3 linked regions of the Sus scrofa genome follow. The main gene of each other region encodes a partner of the protein of the gene in region 3 in a complex. Links are inferred from orthologs where the notes say so. Each region holds a gene or a part of one and is shown on either strand. Other genes may lie near its edges. The genes, in order: TNNI3, TNNI2 and TNNC1.

Region 1 (6,730 bases), on a different chromosome or scaffold from region 3:
TGAGGGGCGGGGTCTGGGCGGCAGGGGGCGGGGCCTCGTGAACTCCAACCCCTGCACCTGCACCTTCAGCCGCGCACCTTGACCGGCTGCCCGTTGCTGGTCCGCAGGAGTGTCTCGTCGTCGGTTTCAATGCCAAAGGCCACGAAGGGCCCCGTGGCGATGTCCCCCCAGTACCCGCGCGCTGCTACGAGCTCTCCGTGCTGCGAAAGCAGAGAGAAATGAGATGGATGGGCGCCCCGGAAAGAAGGAGCAGCCAGGGCAGGAAGTGGCTCGGGAGACGCACTTGGCTCAGGAGACGACCGGACGCCAGGGTCCGGTTGGGCACGTGATAGGCGCTGGAGTCTCTGAGTTCAAAGGCGACGCCTGTGTCCCTCCAGCGCCGGAACTCACGAGTGTGGATGACTCGGGCCTGGAGTTGGGGGAAGCAAGAAAAGAGGCCTCAGGGAATCTGGGATACGGTTCCCAGCACTGAGGGCCTCCAGCACCCTCCTCCCTCAGACCCAGGATCCCAAGCCCCCTTCCTCAAGCTCCAGAACCACCTCCTCACCCGGGACTGAGGACCTGATCCCCCCGGGTCCCAGCCCTCACCCCGCGATCGTGCAGCTTCATGTGCAGGTCCCAGTCGCTGACACCGCGCCGGGCGTCGTACCGGGAGCCCAGGTAGTGGCGCAGCCTCGAGTCCCACAGGCGGCTCATGGGGAAGGCCTCAGGCCCCTTCTCCCCGCCCGCCCAGAAACGGAACACGGCCTCCAGGGCGTCGCGCTCGCGGAACTGCACGGCCAGGCACGCGTGGAGGGAGAACCAGGGAGAGGCGGCTGCAGGAAGAGTGGCTTCTCCTGCTGGACCCTCCCTTCCCTCCCAGAGCGTGGGAACGATTCTCCCTTTTCTCAGATGAAGAAACTGAGGCGCAGAGAGCGGAAGCTGCCCCCTGGTCCATGTCTCACAGTGGGAGCCAGGAAGCCGGGGTTCGGACTCCCGCGCCCTCAGCCTACTCCATCAGCCCAAACCCATTTGGATCGTCCATCTCCATTCTTCCCGTTGCCACCCGGATCCCCGGCGGTGATAGTCGGAGGCTGGGCGGAGGCACCTTGAGCGCGCCCAGGCTGAGCCAGGGTAGCTGCTCTTGCAGGCGATCGGGTTCCAGGACCAGGTGGGCCAGGCGGTCGGCCTGGGCGCGCACGAAGGCGGCCACCGGGGGGCGCAGCAGCGCGTTCCCCCACACCTCCAGGAAGGTCTCGCTCCTCTCTGCGGGGAGGGGGGAGAAACTAGTGGGAGGAATAGAGGGAACCTGGAAATGAGACCCCTGTGGATGATGCACATCCATTTTACAGTGATCTTAGGTTTTCGTAGTCAGGTAGTGAGCATAAGGGAGCCAGGCAAACTCCCCACCCATCCCAAGGGCCAGAAGAAGAAGAAATAACTTAGACCTATTCTTCCCACCTATTCCCTCCCCCCAGGTAACCCCAATTCTGATTTTCATATTTGTTTCCCTTGCCTTAAAAAAGAAAAAGTTATATACAGATGGAGATGGAGATGAAGATTTATGTGTATTAAGTGTTAGACTGTTCATTTTTTTCATTTTAGTTAAGAAACTTATGAGAGAACTATATACCTGTAGTTAGATCAGATCCAGATTAGATTAGTCCCAGTTGTTTAAGGACTTTTTAATTTACTTATTTGTTGTTTTTTCATCTTTTTGCCATTTCTAGGGCCACACATGGAGGTTCCCAGGCTAGGGGTCTTATCGGAGCTGTAGCCACCGGCCTACGCCAGAGCCACAGCAACGCGGGATGCGAGCCGCATCTGCGACCTACACCACAACTCACGGCAACACCGGATCCTTAACCCACTGAGCAAGGCCAGGGATCGAACCTGCCACCTCATGGTTCCTAGTCGGATTTGTTAACCACTGAGCCACGATGGGAACTCCTTAAGGACCTTTTCATAAGGTGTATTATGAAATCTGTGCAATGTCTTCCGAATGTTCTGGGCTATTAATGACACCTACCATCCATAATCATGAAAACAACAGTACTCACTAAAATGTATCGAGTCAGTATCATAAGCCAGGACATGTGCTTTTTTTTTCCCCATTGTATACTCATAAGAATTCTATGGGGGAAGATCTTTCATGACCTCCATTTTATAAATGTAGAAACTGAAGCCAAGAAAAGACCAGATACTAGCCCAAGGTCACAGAACAAGCAGAGTCAGAATTTGAACACGGCTTGTCTGAATCCTAGAGGTTTTGCTCTAGGCACTAAGCTGAAGTTGTTGTTACTGAGAGACAATCAATTTCCCAAATCCTCCTTCTCCCCCTTCTCCTTATAAGTTCACTTTCCAAGTCTGCCTCCTTCAGGCAGGCTGCCTGGGTTTCACCCTCAGCTCAGCCAACCCCCGCCCCCTACTTCTGGAGGCCTCACCACCTCTCAGAAAGTCCCTTGATCTCTTTTGGGCTTCTCCCTTCGTGGAAGGCTCTGCATGCTTACACTGTGTCATGCATAGTTCTGAAAGTTGTATGTGGGTTTTCTTCTAGAATTCTCTAGATGATTCTAGAAAGTATTTTTAGGCCTACTTCACAAGTGGGAAAGACTGAGGCTCTAAGGCCAACAAACAAGTGAGCAAGTGATGAAATAGGGATCAATACTCATTCAAAATGAGTACCCTTGATTTTTTGTTTGTTTTATTTTTGTCTTTTTGCTTTTTCTAGGGCTGCTCCCGCAGCATATGGAGGTTCCCAGGCGAGGGGTCTAATTGGAGCTGTAGTCACCCGCCTATGCCAGAGCCACAGCAAAGCGGGATCCAAGCTGCATCTGCAACCTACACCACAGCTCACAGCAATGCCAGATCCTTAATGCACTGAGCAAGGCCAGGGATGGAAACCACAACTTCATGGTTCCTAGTTGGATTCATTAACCACTGAGCCACGACAGGAACTCCTGAGTATCCTTGAAATGCCAGAATTCCTACAGGGAAGGGGAAGAGGCTGGGGGCCAGACTGCCTGGGTCTTTGCCACTGACCTTGCAGCCCCATCTTCTCTGGATCCTCCAAGGCTATACTGAAGATCAGCATGTGTCGGGCTACAGCTTCTAGATTATTTTCCAGAACATAAAACTGGAAGTATGGAGAGGGAAGGATGATTCTGAGATGTGTCCTTGGCTCCCAGGAGACTCAGGAGTGAGCAAACTTAGAACCAAGGAGACCTGTACATCAGCCCCCCTTCTTCAACACGAGCGTGCGCACTCAGAACTCTCCTCCCCATCACTACTCAGGCTCTTCCTCCCACTCGGACCCAGGAGTCCCCAGACCCAGCCCACTCTTTCCCCAGGACTCAGGAGTCTGGGTTCCCAGCTTCAGGGACTCAGGAATCTGGGTTCTCATATTCATCCTCCTCCTTTCACGACCCCTAATCCCAGCTCACGTGGAATCTCCTTCGAGGCCAGAGCGCAGCTCGGGCCAAAGTCCGCAGCAGATGCCGCCCATCCACGGAGCCCACCAGCAGGACATTTAGCTCGGGTATCCCGTGCTCTGGATCGTCTGGGTCCACAGGACCTGACAAAAAGACAGAGGGTTGGGGTCGGTGGCCTGAAGAGCGCCCATGGCAGCCTCGCTCAGCACGATGGACTACACCTCCCAGGAGAACTTGCACTCCTGGCCTAGGTTTCAAAGGGAGCTGTGCCTCTAAGCATTCTGGGACTGGTAGTCTGCAGCGGCATCAAGGCTGTCCGCTCGGGGGCGCCCCCACCCTTGGAGCCTCAAAGAAGGTTAGCGCGCTGTCTGCCAGCTCTGAAGGCAGCGCTGTGTTGGATTTGTGATCCTGCGTGGGACTCACTCTCAGCCTGCAGGTCCACCGCCGGGGACAGGCCCCACCAGGACACGGAGCCGAAGCCTGAGCCCGAGCCTGCCGGTGTGGTCATCGCCCTGCACGACAGACAACCTGGGAATCCCCAAACATCGTGTCTGCGGCCTCCACCCATTCGCCTTTCACGTCCCCTGATTTCTCGCCTCTTTCCTCCATGGGACGGCCCCCCTCACCTTTATCCTTCCAAATAACTGGACACACCCGCTCTCTGCCCACTCCGAGATGCAGTCCGACGCTCTCTCCGCAACTGCTGCCCAGAGTCTCCGCCCTTTTCAATCAGTAAGCCAATGGGAGTGTGCGGGCTGGCACCACTGTGATCCACTGACCAATGAGAGCGAGCGAGACCTGTCCTCTATGAACTTTTGACCAATGCGAGCGTTGAGGGACGACGACTCTGGCTTGTGGGAGTGGTGGGCAAGCGGACGCGGTTGTCATGACGACGGCGTGGGCGAAGGGGCGGGGCCGGAAGACACGGGGCGGAGCCTGGGGCGGTCCAAATTTCTGGAACGGGGAGGAAGAACGGAACAGAATCTTGATAAACCCAAATTAAAGTGAGATGGCCTACACCTTAAATTATAGACCTCTGGAGTTCCCGTCGTGGCTCAGTGGTTAATGAATCCGACTAGGAACCATGAGGATGCGGGTTCAGTCCCTGGCCTTGCTCAGTAGGTTAAGGATCCCGCGTGGCCGTGAGCTGTGGTGTAGGTCGCAGATGCGGCTTGGATCCCGCGTTGCTGTGGCTCTGGCGTAGGCCAGCGGCTGCAGCTCTGATTCGATCCCTAGCCTGGGAACCTCCATATGCCGCATGAACGGCCGTAGAAAAGGCAAAAAGACAAAAAAAAAAAGTATATATATATATTATATATATATAATACATATATATATATAATATATATATTATATATATAGACATCTGTGTCATTTTCCCTCACACCTGGGCTCTACCACATAGGGCTTCTCACCACATGGGAAAGTTCTAGGGCCAGCTACCACTGGCACCTGATTGTTAAATTTTCAAGAATTTTGTGACCCGGTTGTTACACAAAATCATTACTAAAAATTAAACGTTTTACTAAACTTTATTAAAAATCAAATTCCGGGAGTTCCCATCGTGGTGCAGCGGAAACGAATCCGACTAGGAACCATGAAGTTGCGGGTTTGATTCCTGGCCTTGCTCAGTGAGTTAAGGATCCGGCATTGCCGTAAGCTGTGGTGTAGGCCAGCAGCTATAGCTCCGATTAGACTCCTAGCATGGGAACCTCCATATGCCATGAGTGCAGCTCTAAAAAGCAAAAAAAAAAAAAAAAAAAAAAAAATCAAATTCCAATTAAACACATTACATTAAAATAAATGTAATCAGGAGTCCCCTAGTGGCCCAACAGGTTAAGGATCCAACGTTGTCACTGATGTGGCATGGGTCACTGTTGTGACATGGGCTCAATACCTGGCCTGGTAACTTCCAGATGCCGGCAAGTGCGGCCAAAAAAAGCAAATAAATAAGGGAGTTCTCCTCCTGATGCAGTGGTTAATGAGGCCAACTAGGAACCATGAAGTTGCTGGTTCAATCCCTGGCCTCGATCAGTGGGTTAAGATCCGGCATTGCCATGAGCTGCGGTGTAGGTCGCAGACTCGGTTCAGATCTGGCGGGGCTGTGGCTGTGGCTGTGGCGTAGGCTTGGCTCTGATTAGACCCCTAGCCTGGGAACCTGCATATGCTGCAGGTGCGGCCCTAGAAAAGGCTAAATAAATAAATAAATACGGTAAAGAAAAGGTAATCATACTCAAAACTCATCAGTTTCTATTTTATTATATTTTACTATTATTAGCGGTCTCAAGGTTATTTCCAACTATTGTATCTGTAGGAAGGAAATGCTATTTTAATGCAATGTTGTTTTTGTTTGTTTAGGGCCGCACCTGCAGCATATGGAAGTTCCCAGGCTAGGGTTCAAATTGGAGCTGTAGTTGCTGGCCTCCACCACAGTCACAGCAACACCAGACAGAGCCTCTGGGCAGGTCCAGGTCCTTAACCTACTGAGTGAGGCCCAGGATCGAATCCATGCCCTCATGGCTACTAGTGGGGTTCATAACGCACTGAGCCACAAAGGGAATTCTTGTACTTCATTGCTTTTTTACGACTGAATAATATTCTGTTATTTCCCCCTCATTTTTGCAAGTCTCATGCCTTCTTGCCATTCAAATCACAGCCCCTAAACACTACTTTTTCTTTTTTCTTTTTTTTTTTTGGCTTTTTAGGTCCGCAGGGCATGTGGAGGTTTCCAGACTGGGGTCAAATTGGAGCTGTAGCCACCAGCCTAGGCCACAGCCACAGCAACGCCAGATCTCAGCTACATCTGCAACCTACACCACAGCTCACGGCAATGCCAGATCCTTAACCCACTGAGCGAGGCCAGGGATCGAACCTGCGTCCTCTAGGATGCTAGTCAGATTCATTTCCACTGAGCCGTGACGGGAACTCCCCAAACACTACCTCTTCAGGGAAGCTGTCCCTGACTACCCTTTTAAAATGGTCTGGGGAGTTGCTGTGTGCTCTAGCTCTTAGGACTTGGCACTTCCATCGCTGTGGCCCAGGTTCCTGGTGTGGCCACTGAGATCCCACAGCAGCCATTGCACACCACAGCCACAGCCCAAATAAATAAAAATTTTAAAACAGGATCTCACCTCAGCCCTTACTGGTTTCCTTCCAGTCTGGTCACCATTTTTAATGGTTTTGCACTTCTAATTTGTCTGCTGATTTGTTGAGACATGGAACTGGGGATCCCAATGTCATTATCTAACTCAGAACAGATTCAACCCCAGGATTTAGAGAAGGACTTCCAGCTGTAGCCCTGAGCAGGTCACGTTAATTCA
Region 2 (6,716 bases), on a different chromosome or scaffold from region 3:
CACCAGGCAGGTGCTCTCCCACCAGGCTCGCCTGCCACCGCAGCAGGGTGGGCCACGTCCCCTGCACCTTTGCTGCCCACCCCCTGCCGTCAGGGGTCCGCCAGAAGTTGCTGTCTTCCCCTCCCCCCACTGTCAGGGACGCCGCCTTGCTTCTGATGACCCCCAGACCCCATCTCCAGCCCAGACCCCTGCACCCAGCCTGCCGTGCCTAGAAACTGCCGTGTTCCCCCGCTCCCAAGTCTTATGCAAGGCCAGCCCCGCACCGGCTCCGGTCTCCTCCCCAAGCGCCGCACGCCCTCCTCCCCCCTCAGCCTAAGCCGGGGTCTCCCTGTGCACCAAGTCCTGGGGGCTCTGCCTCCTGAATCTTGTCACCACTGCCCGCCCTCCCAGGAGGTGGCAGTGGCTGCTCTTGTTCCTTCCGGCCTTGCCCATTCCCCGCCCTGTAGAGATCTTTCTAGAGAACGCAGCACCCTCAGCATGCAGGCGTTGGATGCTGCACTACACGCTTGTTGCCCGGGATTGCCCCGTTCGGCCCTCCCTGCCGCTGAGTGCAGCGGCGTGGCCCACCAGGACAGTGGCAGAGGGGTGTGGCGCTGTTTGGATGTGTGCTGGCCTGGTTGGTTTGCAGGGTTCTCTTTCTTCATTCATTCACTGGAAAATGTGACAAGGGCACCCGTAAACCCATTGTCCCCCCCCAAGAATTACAACATCCCCAACCTGCCTCCCCTTTGGTGCTCCCGCCCCCTCTGCCCCTGCTTGGCCGCCGCACCCGGGGGGTCACCGTCGGGAGTTTGTGCTGGACATTTCCTTGCGTTTCCCTGCCCACAGTTGCGTCCTGCTGTGGGAGCCCAGCCCTACAGCCGGCCCCCAGGATGGATTCACGGCCCCTCTCCTGGTGGGCACGGCCCCAGCCCAGCTGCCCATCCCTTTTGCCAGGTGCAAGGAGGGTACCGCTTCCTTCTCTCTGCACTGTGGGCGCCAAAACCCACCCCTTGAATCCACAGCCCGCCCGGCCTGCTCGGAGCTCCACAGGGATGACCCGGGCCCTACACCCGCCTACGGGAGTGGGAAGGGCAGCCCAGGCACCAGGCTGGGGGCCCCGAGCTGCAGGGTGGCCTGAGCCCGGTGCCTGGGCTGGAGCGGGGGTGGGGAGCCGTACTTGTGAAGGCCAGCCGGGCAGGCTGACGCCTGTCCCTTGAGGCTCAAGGCTGAAGGCAGCTGCCCGCCGCATCTCCAGCCCTGGCACGCCAATCGATGGGACCTCCACAGGGCAAGGGTAGGCTGGATGGCCACTCCGTTACGGCCACGCCCAGCATCCCGGCTCCCCACCAAAGACCTGAGCGCCGGACCTGAGCATCATCCCTCACGGAGGAGGCTGGCGGCGGCCTTGCCATGACAGTCACGTCTGGGCCTGTCGGGCACATCGTCCCTTGGTGTGTGAGGTCGGCGAGGGCTGGGCAGAAAGAAGAGCCCCCCCCGCCGCCGCCCCCACTGAGCCCAGCCTGGGGCCGGTTGGCCTGTGGTGTCTCTGGCAGGAGCGCAGGCCCCAGCCCAGCGTACGCCTGCGTCGGGGGCTCCAGCTGCTGGGAGGGCCATCTGACCCAGGACGGTCCCCATGTGCCCTGCGGGAGGCTGGGGTCTGGGGAGGAGCAGCCTGGGAGGAAGGCTGGGGTGGGGGGCTGCCCACATAGGCTCCTGCCTTGACTTATGCCACAAGGGCAGGCTCCGGGACCTTTGCGATGACAGCGACAGTGGACAAATGGTCGTCTGGAGAAGCATCTCGGACAGGACCTGGGCCACCTGTGTCTGGCCTGTGGGGTCTGCCCGATGTCGCCAAGCAGGCCCCCCCCCCCCGGGGAGGGCGAGTGGGGGAGGAGGGTTCCCTGGCCTGGACGCGGCCCTCGGGCCCAGCCGAAATGCCCCGAAGCCCACCCCGGCTTCTCAGCGCCGACTCAGGGCTCAGAGGCCCCCCGCAGACGGCCCGCGGGCAGAGAGGACCAGGCCAGACGCAGCAGTCCTGGGGATGGGAAGCCTTTATTGACCACGAGGCCGAGCGGCCTCCAGGGGGCGCGCGGCTGCCGGGAGCGCGGGCGGCGGGGCCCCCGGGGGCCTAGGACTCCGTCTCGAACATCTTCTTGCGGCCCTCCATGCCCGACTTCTCCTCGATGTTCTTCCTCCAGTCGCCCACGTCGCGCAGGTCCCGCTCCTGCCGCGCGCGCGGGCACAGGGCTCAGCGCCCGCTCCCTAGACCCTTCCGGGGGGCCGAGCCCACCCCCGCCCCCCCCACCGCCTGCCACTGCCGCCCCCGGGCGAGGGTCCCTGCCGACGGGTCCCGAGCCTGGCCTACCTTCTCCGTGTCCTCCTTCTTGACCTGCTTCAGGTTGGCCCGCAGGTCCATGCACACTTTGTGCTTGGAGCCCAGCAGCGCCTTGAGCATGGCATCGGCCGACATCCGCACCCTTCTCAGCGGGGGCCTCTTGAACTTGCCTCTCAGGTCGAACAGCTTCTGGTTCATGTCCTCCAGCTGCGGACGTGGGCGAGGGGCGGGGAGGCTCGGAAGCCAGGCCCGTGGGGGGCGCGTCCCGCCCCCGCCCCCGCCCGACCTCTCACCTCCTTGGTGCTTTTCTGGACCTTGATCTCCATGTCGTACTTCTCCTCCTCGGCCGCGTCGATCTTGGCGTGCAGCTGTTTGCAGAGCTCCTGGGGGGGGGGCGTGGGTGGGCGGGGGGCCGGCCCCACCCTTGGGCCTCCCTCCGCCCTGACCCCGCCCGCCCTCCCTGGGTACCTGGACCTCCGACATGGAGCCGGGCAGGTGCAGCGGGGGGCAGTGCTCAGACAGGTAGTTCTGCTTCTCCGACTCCCGGCGGCCCACCTCCTTCTCCAGCTCCGTGGCCGCGATCTGGAGCATGACGCTCTGGGCGGGGAGGCAGCTGGTGAGGGGCGGCAGCAGGCCCTCGGCCCCCTGGGCGCCCCCCACCCAGGCCCGCACCCACCTTCAGGTGCTGTCTGCGGGCCGTGATGGCCCTGTGGCGCTTCTGCAGGGCAGGGGAGAGGAGACAGAGTCAGGGCCGGCCGGGCTGCCAGCATCCTGCATCCTGTCTGGCTCGTGCCGCCCAGTCCGGGGTCCACTGGGCCTGGTGGGGAGGCTGGGGCCCGGACATGGTGCAGCACAGTGACCCTCTGCCCGGATGTCCCTTCAGGTTAGGTGGAGTAGGTGTGGCTGTGCCTCAGAGGCAGGTGGGGGGGGACGTGCTGGCAGGGCCCAGGAGGTGGGGGAGGGGATGCAGCCATCAGAAAGAAGAAGCCACTTCCCGGTGACGGGGCCAGGCGGCACTTCCCCTGTGCCGCGCCACCACATGGAGCAGACACTTCCTCTGGGGGGGGGTTGCCCTTTCACGGGGAAGGGAGGGCTGCCTTGAAGCTCCAACCTGTCCTGATGTGTGGGGGGTGTGCCATCCCTTCGAAGTCCCACCCCAGGGCAGGTACTCACCTCCTCACTGTCCCAGGAGGGCAGGTGGGGGGAGGAGAGAGAAGAGAAGTTAGGGCCATGCCGTGGGGCTGTGTGACGGACGGGGTGGGCGGGCGGGCAGTGGCCAGGGTGGGGATGCAGAGCCCCTTGCCCAGCGAGGGCGGGGCGGGGGAGGGGTGTGGGCCGGAGCGGGGCGAGGGCACCGGGCTGGGGGGCTGCACTTACTCCCCCATCTTGAGCTCCTGGACTTAGAGCCTGTGGGAGAGAAAGGTCAGGGCTGTTAGGGCCCTTGCCCCGCCTTCCCTGGACCCCAGCTGTCCAGAGGGTTCTGCCCTCACACGAACCCCGCCCCCTGCAGCCCCGCCCCCCACCTCCTTGGAGGGCTGTGTCTTGGAATCCCGGCGGGGGGGGGAGTAAGAGGAGAAAGTGTTCCCAATATGTCCCAGGCGGGCCTGGGGGGGGCTGCAGCTGTCCCCAAGGGAGGGTGGGTCCGGCCAGCGCAGGTGGCCGCCAAAGCCACCAGTTATTTTTAGCTCTGCTCCTTCAGCTTCTGGCCCCAGTGCACACAAGAAACGGCTCCCCAGTTGGGCCTGGGGTTCCTTGACCCGTAAGATCCCCTCCCATGTCCCAGAGGTGAGGCCTGGCCGTCGGGGTGCTGCCCAGGACCCCTGGCCACCCTGGCCCACCTCCAATGCTTCTCTCTCTTGCCCCCCCTCCGCCCCCGCTCCCTCTCTGTGGAAGCCCCCCGAGAGGCTGCAGCCCCCGCCTCTGGCCCCCCAGCCCTGGGAAGCCCTTCTGTGAGCTTGCTTGAGCAGCGCCTGTCCCTGGAGTCGGCTGGCAGGGCCACCTCACCTCACGTCTGGGCAGCAGCACTGGGGCTGAGGTTAGGCCGGCAGCGGCAAGCTGGGCTGGTGGGCCCAGGGGAGGGATATAAATGGCCTCCCCCAGGCTGGGCCCCCGCTCAGAAAGGGCATGGAGCCCTCTTCAGACCAATGGGGGCACAGGGACCTGCCCACCTGCCCAGGCTGCCTGCCCGGCCCAGCTGCGTCCGCGTGCTGCCGTCCAGGCCAAGGAGTCTTGGGGACGGGAGGTGGGGGGGCCGAGGTTGGGTGGCTCTATTTAGGGCTCAGTGACGACTTCGAGATGCTGCCCTTGTTCTTGTGAGAGGCCTGAGGACAGTGTGCCAGCCTCGCCGGCCACAGTGCGCAGCTCATGTCAGCCGAGGGGTCACTGCAGCCCAGCCCCACCTGCCCTGCCTCAGGTCCCCGCCGTGGTCAGCTTCCCCAGGGCCCAGGGCCCCCCTGGGGACAACAGCCCCTCTCCGTGCTCACTGGCCTCTTTAGCTTGGCCAGCTCCAAGCTGGACTGGGACAAGTCGGGACCCCCAAACGCAGCTTCTGGTGCCTGTGGCAGCAGCCAGGGTCTCTGCGGTGGGGGCCGCCCTCCGCGGGCGTGGTCCCTGCTTCTTGCTGGGGAGCAGGCTGGGGGCCCCGGGACGGAGGGACGTGCTGCCTTGCCTGGAACGCCCTGCCTGCAGGCCAGTTCCCTGCACGGCCTGGAATGTGTCTTTCAACCCCCAGATTTCGGACTTCGGCACCACCCACCTGGGAACCTCTCCCTGACCCGAGGGGCCTGGGGCCCGGGCCTGTGCCCCCGGCCCGGGCCCCCACCCAGCGGAGGCATGGAGACCCCACCAGGGCCTGGCACCCTCGGAGCCGGGGGCGCACGGCCCCAGCCCCGCTGGCCTCTCAGCGTGGGGAGGGTCAGGGAGAGCAGGAGCCGGCCAGATGTGCGGGGATTAGCGCCGCTTTCCGGGCCAGGCTGAGCCCCCAAAGGCCCGGGGCGGCTTCGGAAGGCATCTACTGCCCCCTGCTGCTCGAGCAGGGGAGGCCTCAGCCCGAGGCTTTCGGGGCCTGGCAGGGGGCTGGGGTGGTCCTTGGGGCTGAGGTCCCCTCCAACACTGTCACCGCCCCCAGATGTCTCCCCGTTGCCCAACATGTCCGCGTGGGGCCACCCCATGGGCCCCCAGCCCCCGCAGCCAGGGAGAGCTCCCCATCTCCCAGCGCCGTCCCCACTGGGCCCGAAGGGGCCCCTTCGCCCTCACTCGGGGTCAGGCACTGGTCAGAGGCCGCAGGGCCTGGCTGAGTCTGGAGGGGAGACCCCCCCCCTTGTCCTTGGAGGGGTCCGGGACGTGTTGGTGGAGCCCCTGACCCTACTGTGTCCTCGGGCTCAGGAAGGACACACAGCAGAGGCGGGAGAAGGCGTTTATTGTGTGGCGCCCGGGGCGGCCTGCACCCTCGAGGACACTGCTTTCAGGAGCCTGGCAGGGGCAGGCGCAGGCGGGGCTGCAAGGCCAAGACCCGGTCCACCTCCCTGGCCGGACGCAGGCGGTGCCACTGGGCAATGGGTCGCCGGGCGTGGGCCAGCATGTCCGCCCAGTGCTGTAAGGGCTGACCAGAGGCCCGGGCGCCCAGCAGAACCTTGCCCACGGGCTCGGCCCGGAACTGAGGGCCCCGGGCCCAGACGGCCAGCACCAGATCCACGCTCTGGGTAGAGGCAGGCAGGGTGCGGTGGGGGGAGAAGGACAGAAGTCAGGTTGGCCCTGAGCCCGGGCCCACTGTCCCCCTCCTCCAGGCAGCCCACCTGGATCTGGCTGAAGGGCACGAGGAAGGTAAAGGCCTTGTTGAAGTAAGGGGCGGCCGTCCCTTTCCTGGTCGACGTCTTCCTCTTCTTCCACTTCCTCTGATTCAGCACAAGCTGGACCTTCACGAAGGGCTCTGGGCAAAGCGAGGGAGACCAGAGGGCGGTCTGGGTCTGAGGCCCGAGCCCAGGCTCCCCTCTGGCCCCGTGGAGGGGCCGGCCTGGCTCTCACCTGCCAGCCCCGGGCTCAGGCCTCGGGCCTCCAGCACCACCACGGTCAGCCGGCCGGAGCCGGGCACGTACCGGAGTGAGACGCACAGTTCACCCGTCTGCTCGGGCTGCGGGAGGGAGGGGGCCTCAGCTTCCCCAGCACAGCGGGTGGGGCACAGCTGAGGCCCGCGATCAATCCGATCTCACCTCAGGGGCGCTGGGTGGGCCCAGCGGGTGCCAGAGCTCCAGGACGTGCTGCAGGTCCACGGTGCCCAGCGGCAGGCTGAGCGCGCCCAGCGGCTCGGGCGGGGAGACGCCCCGGGAGTGCAGCACCTGCACCTGAAGGCTGGTCCGCGGCAGCTCTGCCGGCGGCACCTACAGGAGAGCGTGAGGCCCAG
Region 3 (6,607 bases):
TCCTGAGTCTACTATCAATTCCATAAAATTAGGGACTGGGACTGAGGATCTCAGCATTCAGCCAGTGCTGGACACAGAATATACATGTGACTAAACCCTGGAATGGTATCCTGGCAGGTGGTGGCACCCACAGTAGCCCTGCCTCCTCTTCTGAAGTGTCATCATTCCTGGGTGTATATGTAGGTCCTTGAGTTTTCCAGCTCCTGAAGCCAGGATTTAGGGGACCCCTGGTCTCTCTAGGCATCAGGCAGCTACTGCCAGCTCTGACCTCCACTGGAGGCATCTCCAGAATTCCAAGACCGTCTCTGGAATGTTGGGCCTGTCTGGGGAATGCCAAGGCTGGGGCACAGGTGCAGAGGCTGTGGAGTGACTGGGTGGAGCAGGGACAGCTGCTGACATTCTGGCTGCAGCCTAGGCACAGTGGCAGCTGTCCCTCTTGCAAGCACCACTGCTGACACCTCCACTTCCTTGCATTCCTCTACCTCCCCAAGGCCAGTTTCACTATTCTGTCCATAGTTCTGGCCTGGGTACCCCCACTAGGCTGAGAGCCACCAGGCCCTCTGCATCTATTCCCTGTCAGGGAGGAATTGTGGGCTGCTGGAGCTGATGAAGTTCATGGTAACTAGAAATCATGCCCATCTGGACCTGGTCCATCAGACAGAGTCCTCGGCTGGGGAGCCAGGTGGCTCTGCTCTTCCCAGCCTCACTGCATGACCTTGACAGGCCCGGAGCCTCTCTGGGCCCCACCTGTCAAATGGCCAAGGGGAGGCAGAGTAGAAGATATGCCCCTCGGTCCCTTAAGCCAATGCCGCCAGCAGGAAATCCAAGTGGGTGGGCAGATGGCCTGGAGCTGCAGGCCAGCTGAGCCCCCATGTGGTCTGCTTCTCCCCAACCAGAACCAAGGAAGGGCTGGGGCTGCTGTGCTGCAGTGACTTCTGTCTCCAAGTAGTGGATCCCTGCCTGCCAACTGGCTGACCAAAACTATGGCCCTGACGGGGCCTGTGAAATGCAGATTCCTGGGCCATCACAGCCTTCAGATGTGGAATTGCTGGAGGTGGGGCTGGGGCACCAGCAGTTATAGAAAAGAGACAGTGGGGCACGGAATGTTGTAGTCTCTGATCTAATCCAGCCCCTCCTGCAGAAGGCAGTGTGCAAGGGTGGTTAGGGTCTGGGACGGGGAAGGAAACTGCTGCGGCAGGAGTAGACCCTGGGGAAGAGTCATGAATGGAAGCCAGGCACCAGGCTCCAAGGAGCAGGGCTTTATTTGCATTCTCTAGGACAGGGCTGGGTAAGGTAGTCAGGGAGGGCCTGTGGTCAAGCACATACCCAAATTCATATCCTGGGGACTCTGGCTCCCTGCCCCCAACCCCGGGGCTGGGCTGGAGTTGGAAGGTGGTACAGGCAGCTCTGAACGAAGGTCGGTGTTTACTCCACCCCCTTCATGAACTCCAGGAATTCTGTGGAGAGAGGGGCGAGCATAGGTCAGAGGTGGATCGGTGCTGGCCTCTTGGCAGCAGGGATTCAGTGCACCCCCACTCACCGTCATAGTCAATGCGGCCATCATTGTTCTTGTCACCATCTTTCATGAGCTCCTCGATGTCATCCTCTGTGATGGTCTCGCCTGTCGCCTGAAGCATTATCTTCAGCTCCTCCAGGTCGATATAGCCATCAGCGTTTCTGCCAATGGGTGAGGGGAGCCTCAGAGCCCGTGATGGGGGCACAGAGAGGGGAAGAGGCAGCCCTGCTCATGACCCCGGGAGGCAGGGGAGGGCCACTGGGAGGTGGCGCATCCCATTCCCTCACTGTACAGAATGGGAGACTGAGGCCTTGAGGTCACAAGACTGTCCCCCTCTCCCCAGCTCTGCTAGGGTTAGGGTCAGAGGTCAAGGGTCATACACTCACTTGTCAAACATGCGGAAGAGGTCAGAAAGCTCCTCCTCAGACTTTCCTTTGCTGTCATCCTTCATGCACCGAACCATCATGACCAAGAACTCATCGAAGTCCACTGTGCCACTCCCTGGAGGGAGGGGTGTGGCACAGCCATTAGAGAAGGATGGTCAGAATGGCTGGCACTGCCCTTGACACTAGACCCCAGTGCTCTCACTGCATCCTCACACTAACTCTGTGAGGCCTGTGTGGTCCTTGGGCCCATTTTATACATGAGACGGCTGAGGTTCAGAGAGGCTAAAGAGCTCCTTTAAGGACACAGAGTAATAAGTAGCAATCCAGGATTCAGGGTCCCAGTGAGCTGGGAGTGCTATGGGTTTGGGGCTGGGTGGGGAGGGGAGGGGGCTCACCGTCTTCATCCACCTCGTCAATCATCTCCTGCAGTTCCTCAGGTGTGGGGTTCTGGCCCAGCATCCTCATCACTTTGCCCAGCTCCTTGGTGCTAATGCAGCCATCCTCGGCGCCCAGCACGAAGATGTCAAAGGCTGCCTTGAACTCTGTCCAGTAGGGGAAGAGGAGAAACAGAGCGGCCAGGGCTCAACAGCCAGAAACCTGGAAGGTCAGACCTCTAGTTCCACCTGTTAACCTACCCACTTCCCTCTGACATCTGAAGTCAGAGGGAGAGGGACTCTGGCCTCTGGCCTCCAGCCTGGGGTCCTCCTACTCCCCCAGCCCAGCCCTGCTGTTCCCCTACATGCGTGTTTGAGCACTCACCATTTTTCTGCTCTTCTGTCAGCTGCTCTACCTAGAGAGGAAAAGAGGTCTCAGGACTCAGGCTCAGGCCTTCGCTGCTGTGGAGGAAATCAACCCATTCCATAGCTGGGAAGACTAAAGCCAGGAAGAGGTAGGCCATTCCCAGGTCACAGAGCAGAAGAGGCCTCAGTTCTCCCTCCCTGCCCCCCAAAGCCCTGAGGTGACCTGGCTAGCCTCACTGAGACTGGGCTCAGGGCCAGGGTGACAGGTGGGAACCCCTTCCACGACCAAGGTGACCCTGAGTAACAATAGTCATCGCCCTCCCCACCCCACCCCCAACCCCCGGCTGAAACCCAAGCTGGGTGGCCCAAGAGACAGCTGTCCCTCAGGTTGGGACAATAAAACCAAAGTGGGGCTAGGCAAAGCCACCCACTGTAACCTGACCGGGGTGGCCACTGGGCTATTTTTAACGGGGGACAAAGTTAAACCTGGTGATTGTTCTGGGGACTCTGGCATGCAGGGGGTGGGGCAGCGTTATCTAGCCCCCTGGCCTGCTGGAGCCTCAGGAGCCAAAATTAGTTCCCAGCCCCGCCAGGCCTTGTATGGGCATGGGGCGGAGGACTGCCCCCCCAGCTCCATGGACTCCTGCAGGATAGGCAGAGGCACCCCCTTCCTTTCCCCGGGCTGAGGGAGGGGTTCCCCTGGGAGCAGCTGTCCATGTCAGATGTCCTTGTCTCTACGGTGGGAGGAGGTCAGTAACACACCCCCCTGCTGGCATGGAATCACATCTGAAGCCCCTCAGTGGGCCCTGCAGGGACCTGAAGTGACCACCCTCCAGCCCTTACCCCTGGCTAAGCCACTGATCCGGAGCCTGCCGAGCTGGATGCGGGCTGGGGCCTCAGCTCTCTGTTCCTTCTTCCCAGCTCCCCACCCCCATGCCCAGTCCCTCCCTGCCTGCCTTAAACTTCAGAGCCCCTTCTCCAGCTCAGGATTCCAGCTCTCCAGCCCCCTCCTCACAACCCCTATCCCACTCTCCACAGCATCTGCAGCCAGCCAAGGGGCTGGAGGGGGTGGGGGATTGTGGACATGTGAGAAGCAGAATATGAGGGGCAGCAGTGGGGGAGGTGGGGACAGGGAAACAGCAACAGAGCCTCAGAGGGAGAGCTTGGAAGGAACAAAGAGATGGAAAGAGACTAGAAACAGCAAAAGTCCAGAGACCAGTGACGTAGACTAGAGACATTTGGAGACAGGGGCAGACATGATGCCAAAGCTGCGACATCTTCCTCCACCCACCCTGACAGCTACCCACAGACCCTAAACTCCTCACCCCTTCCACACCCTGGAATGCCAGCCCCACCAGCCCCTGAGGGCCTGGGTTGAAAGTACGTGGTCCCTCTCCTGGATTCCCACCATCTCCTTCAGGTGACCTTGCCCCCATCATGAGCTGAATGAGCCCCCTGTGGGCCCGCCACCCCAGCCCTGCCCAGGCCCATCCCTCACCGCAGCCTTGTAGATGTCATCCATACTGGCGGCTCACAGGGCAGGCTGCTGAGGTTGCCAGCAGCGGCCCTCGGCTTAAATAGCCCTGCCCCGCCACATTCCCGGCCCAGCCCACCCCTGCCTGCCGTATCCTCCACTCCCTCCCCTGGACCTGGTGATCTCACACTGGCCTGAGTCCCTGTGTCCTCCGCCCAGGGCAAGGAGAAGATGAAGGGCTATAAGGACCAGGTCTCTCTCCCTCTGTCCTCCATCTCCCCAGGGACTCTCCAGAAAAGTTTTTTGAAAAAATGAAAACATAAGCCCAGGACAGACGGGAGCTGTGTACAGGGGCCTCGCCTGGGGCCCACTATACTGCAGCTCCTGTCTGCCCCGGAGGTGAGGCCCCTATACACAGCAGCTCAACCCCTATCCAATCAAGGGAATAGGTGAGGCTCCTGGAAGGACTTGCTTGAGGTCTGGCTGACGTGGCAGCTCCTAACTTAGGTTAAACCTCTCTGGAGCAGGGGCAACACTATGTAAGGAGAGGGTGGGAGAGCAGAACCCTCAGAGAAGCCTCGAATGCCAAGTTCAGAGTACGGTGCTGTGGTACTAGTGGAGAAGGAAGGCACTGACCTACCTCAGGAGAGTATGGGCTGGAGCCTTTCTGCCAAGGGTGCCAGAGAAGCCCTGCCTGAGACCTCTCATCTCCCCAGGGAGAGAAGTACTAGCTCTGGGCTTGACTGCATTCAATCAATCATTCAACAAACTCACCCTCACAGATGCCCCATCTGTGTAAGACTGTTCCCCTGAAGTTGGTTTACCACCTCTCTCTTCTAGATCTGGGTCTTCCCCTGGGTTAAGGCTCCTTCTCTGCCTGTGCTCCAGTACTGCAGTTCCTGGGTCCAGAGCCAATCTATCGCCCCCTCATTTTGAGCTCTAGTAGAACACCAGCGGGGGTCTTGTGCCAGATGGCCAGCACATAGCCATTGCTTCCACCTAACTCAACACCTTCTCGCAGAACTCACACCAGCTCCCTGCCTTGCCTGCCAGGCGTTTGCGTGGACTAGCCCACTCAGTTCTCTGGAAGCCCATGTGACATAGATCTGAGTCTTGGAGAGGTTAAGAACTGACACAATTATTCTGTCCTGCTTGCATTCTAAGCCCCAATTTTTCTTCTCCTTTAGCCTTCTTGTGCTCAACTGGGAATGAGCCCAAGAGGAAGGTGAGAGGTAACCACTGCCTCTTTTCTGGAGAAGGAAACTGAGACCAAGCGAAGCAGTGACTCGCTTCAGGTACGCCGGAAGGTGCGGGGCCATTGGTCCTTCCTTCCTGGGCACTGACTGGCAATTCCCAGAGCAGTTCCCGCCCGGAGCCTCAGTTTCTCCCCCGCTGCTAGGAGCGCGGCGGGCGGGGCCAGGCAGGTACAGATTACGCAAGTGGACCTTCCCGGGCAGCCTGCGCACGCGCGCCATTGGCAGCTGCTGTCAATTACGCGCGAGGGGCGGAGCTGGGCGGGGCGCGAGGAGGCGGCCGGTCCAAGATGGCTGCTTGGTGAGCAGCGTGGGGCGGGGGGCGGGGGCCGTCGGGGGGCGGTGGGACGCTGACCCCGCCCCCTGCTGCTGCCAGTCTGCTCCGGGCGGCGGCGGCGACCGAGCCCGGAACATGGCGGCCGCGGCGCGCAGCTTCGGGCCCGAACCGGAGGCCGAGCCGGCCAAGGAGGCTCGCGTCGTGGGCTCTGAGCTCGTGGACACGTATACGGTGTGCCGAGGGCCCCGGTGCCTGAACTAGGGGTGGCGGCTGGAACCCGATTTCAGAGTTGGGAGGTTGGGGAGGGAATCTGGGCCCAGCATCTGAAGAGGAGGAGGTGGGGGACTGCGATTTTGAAGTGGGGACCTGGAATAGCGGAATCTGGGGAAGGACCCTGGGCCCTGCAGGTAGGGAAAGAGGGTCCTGGGGTGGGGCCCAGGGAGGGGGCCTGGGAAGTGTACGCGTTTAGAAAAGCAGGATAGGGTTGGGGAAAGATTAGAGGATAAAGGGGGTCTGCGGAAGACAGGAGTCGGGTTGAGGCGGCGGTCCCTCTAGATCTTCTAGGCCTTGAGAGGCGCCGGCCTGGGAGGACGTGACAAGGGGTCTGGAAGGAGGGGAATTAGGGAAAGGGTCTCTGATGGATGAAATCTGCAGAAAGGGTCAGGGCCCTGCGGGCGGGGGCGGAGGAGACGGGGCCTTGACGTGGGAGGCCTGAGGTTGCAGTTGAGATTTGCTCTAAAAGTGAAGGGGGGCTCAGGTTCCTTGGGGCTCTGGCAGAAACAAGAATGGGGTAAGGGTGGAGCCTAGACACCGGCAATTGAAGGGGTGGCTCAGGGCTGAAAGCTTAAAACCGGGGAACCTTAGGGATCTTCATGGCTTTGGATTATGGGGGTGAGTTGGTGCTGTAAACTGCCCACGCACACTTCAGAGCTACGGGGGTGATGGAGGACAGCAAAGGGGG

Evidence for each region.
Region 1: the proteins of TNNC1 (region 3) and TNNI3 are in contact, whole or in part, in a crystal structure (PDB 4Y99), measured with the Homo sapiens proteins. The link is inferred for Sus scrofa from reciprocal best matches to the Homo sapiens genes TNNC1 and TNNI3. Residues at the interface, in NP_003271.1 of Homo sapiens: Asp3, Ile4, Lys6, Ala7, Glu10, Gln11, Thr13, Glu15, Gln16, Glu19, Phe20, Ala22, Ala23, Ile26, Phe27, Val44, Met45, Leu48, Gln50, Glu59, Met60, Glu63, Glu66, Asp67, Gly68, Asp73, Asp75, Glu76, Phe77, Met81; in NP_000354.4 of Homo sapiens: Glu32, Pro33, His34, Ala35, Lys36, Lys37, Lys38, Ser39, Lys40, Ile41, Ser42, Ala43, Ser44, Arg45, Lys46, Leu47, Gln48, Leu49, Lys50, Thr51, Leu52, Leu53, Leu54, Ile56, Ala57, Lys58, Glu60, Leu61, Glu64, Arg136.
Region 2: the proteins of TNNC1 (region 3) and TNNI2 are in contact, whole or in part, in an NMR structure (PDB 2MKP), measured with the Homo sapiens proteins. The link is inferred for Sus scrofa from reciprocal best matches to the Homo sapiens genes TNNC1 and TNNI2. Residues at the interface, in NP_003271.1 of Homo sapiens: Asn18, Glu19, Phe20, Ala22, Ala23, Ile26, Val44, Met45, Met47, Leu48, Gln50, Pro52, Glu56, Phe77, Met80, Met81, Cys84, Met85, Lys86, Asp87; in NP_001139301.1 of Homo sapiens: Arg116, Met117, Ser118, Ala119, Asp120, Ala121, Met122, Leu123, Ala125, Leu126, Leu127, Lys130, His131, Lys132.

The regions. Positions count from the first base shown.
Region 1 is NC_010448.4:59,373,371-59,380,100, forward strand, and holds the start of TNNI3 (troponin I, cardiac muscle), read right to left. Parts: upstream 4,114-6,730; 5' UTR 4,037-4,113; intron 3,923-4,036; 5' UTR 3,834-3,922; intron 3,554-3,833; 5' UTR 3,423-3,553; intron 3,116-3,422; 5' UTR 3,022-3,115; intron 1,246-3,021; 5' UTR 589-1,245; intron 410-588; 5' UTR 284-409; intron 201-283; 5' UTR 78-200; intron 1-77. UniProt on the Homo sapiens protein: Troponin I is the inhibitory subunit of troponin, the thin filament regulatory complex which confers calcium-sensitivity to striated muscle actomyosin ATPase activity.
Region 2 is NC_010444.4:1,249,194-1,255,909, reverse strand, and holds TNNI2 (troponin I, fast skeletal muscle), read right to left. Parts: upstream 4,345-6,716; 5' UTR 4,322-4,344; intron 3,725-4,321; 5' UTR 3,703-3,724; coding exon 3,695-3,702; intron 3,498-3,694; coding exon 3,491-3,497; intron 3,036-3,490; coding exon 2,994-3,035; intron 2,915-2,993; coding exon 2,786-2,914; intron 2,701-2,785; coding exon 2,611-2,700; intron 2,525-2,610; coding exon 2,348-2,524; intron 2,207-2,347; coding exon 2,111-2,206; 3' UTR 2,027-2,110; downstream 1-2,026. UniProt on the Homo sapiens protein: Troponin I is the inhibitory subunit of troponin, the thin filament regulatory complex which confers calcium-sensitivity to striated muscle actomyosin ATPase activity.
Region 3 is NC_010455.5:34,590,148-34,596,754, forward strand, and holds TNNC1 (troponin C, slow skeletal and cardiac muscles), read right to left. Parts: upstream 4,174-6,607; 5' UTR 4,165-4,173; coding exon 4,141-4,164; intron 2,693-4,140; coding exon 2,662-2,692; intron 2,445-2,661; coding exon 2,298-2,444; intron 2,018-2,297; coding exon 1,903-2,017; intron 1,678-1,902; coding exon 1,541-1,677; intron 1,458-1,540; coding exon 1,426-1,457; 3' UTR 1,424-1,425; downstream 1-1,423. Other genes in the region: NISCH (nischarin), read left to right, coding at 5,782-5,877. UniProt on the Homo sapiens protein: Troponin is the central regulatory protein of striated muscle contraction. Tn consists of three components: Tn-I which is the inhibitor of actomyosin ATPase, Tn-T which contains the binding site for tropomyosin and Tn-C.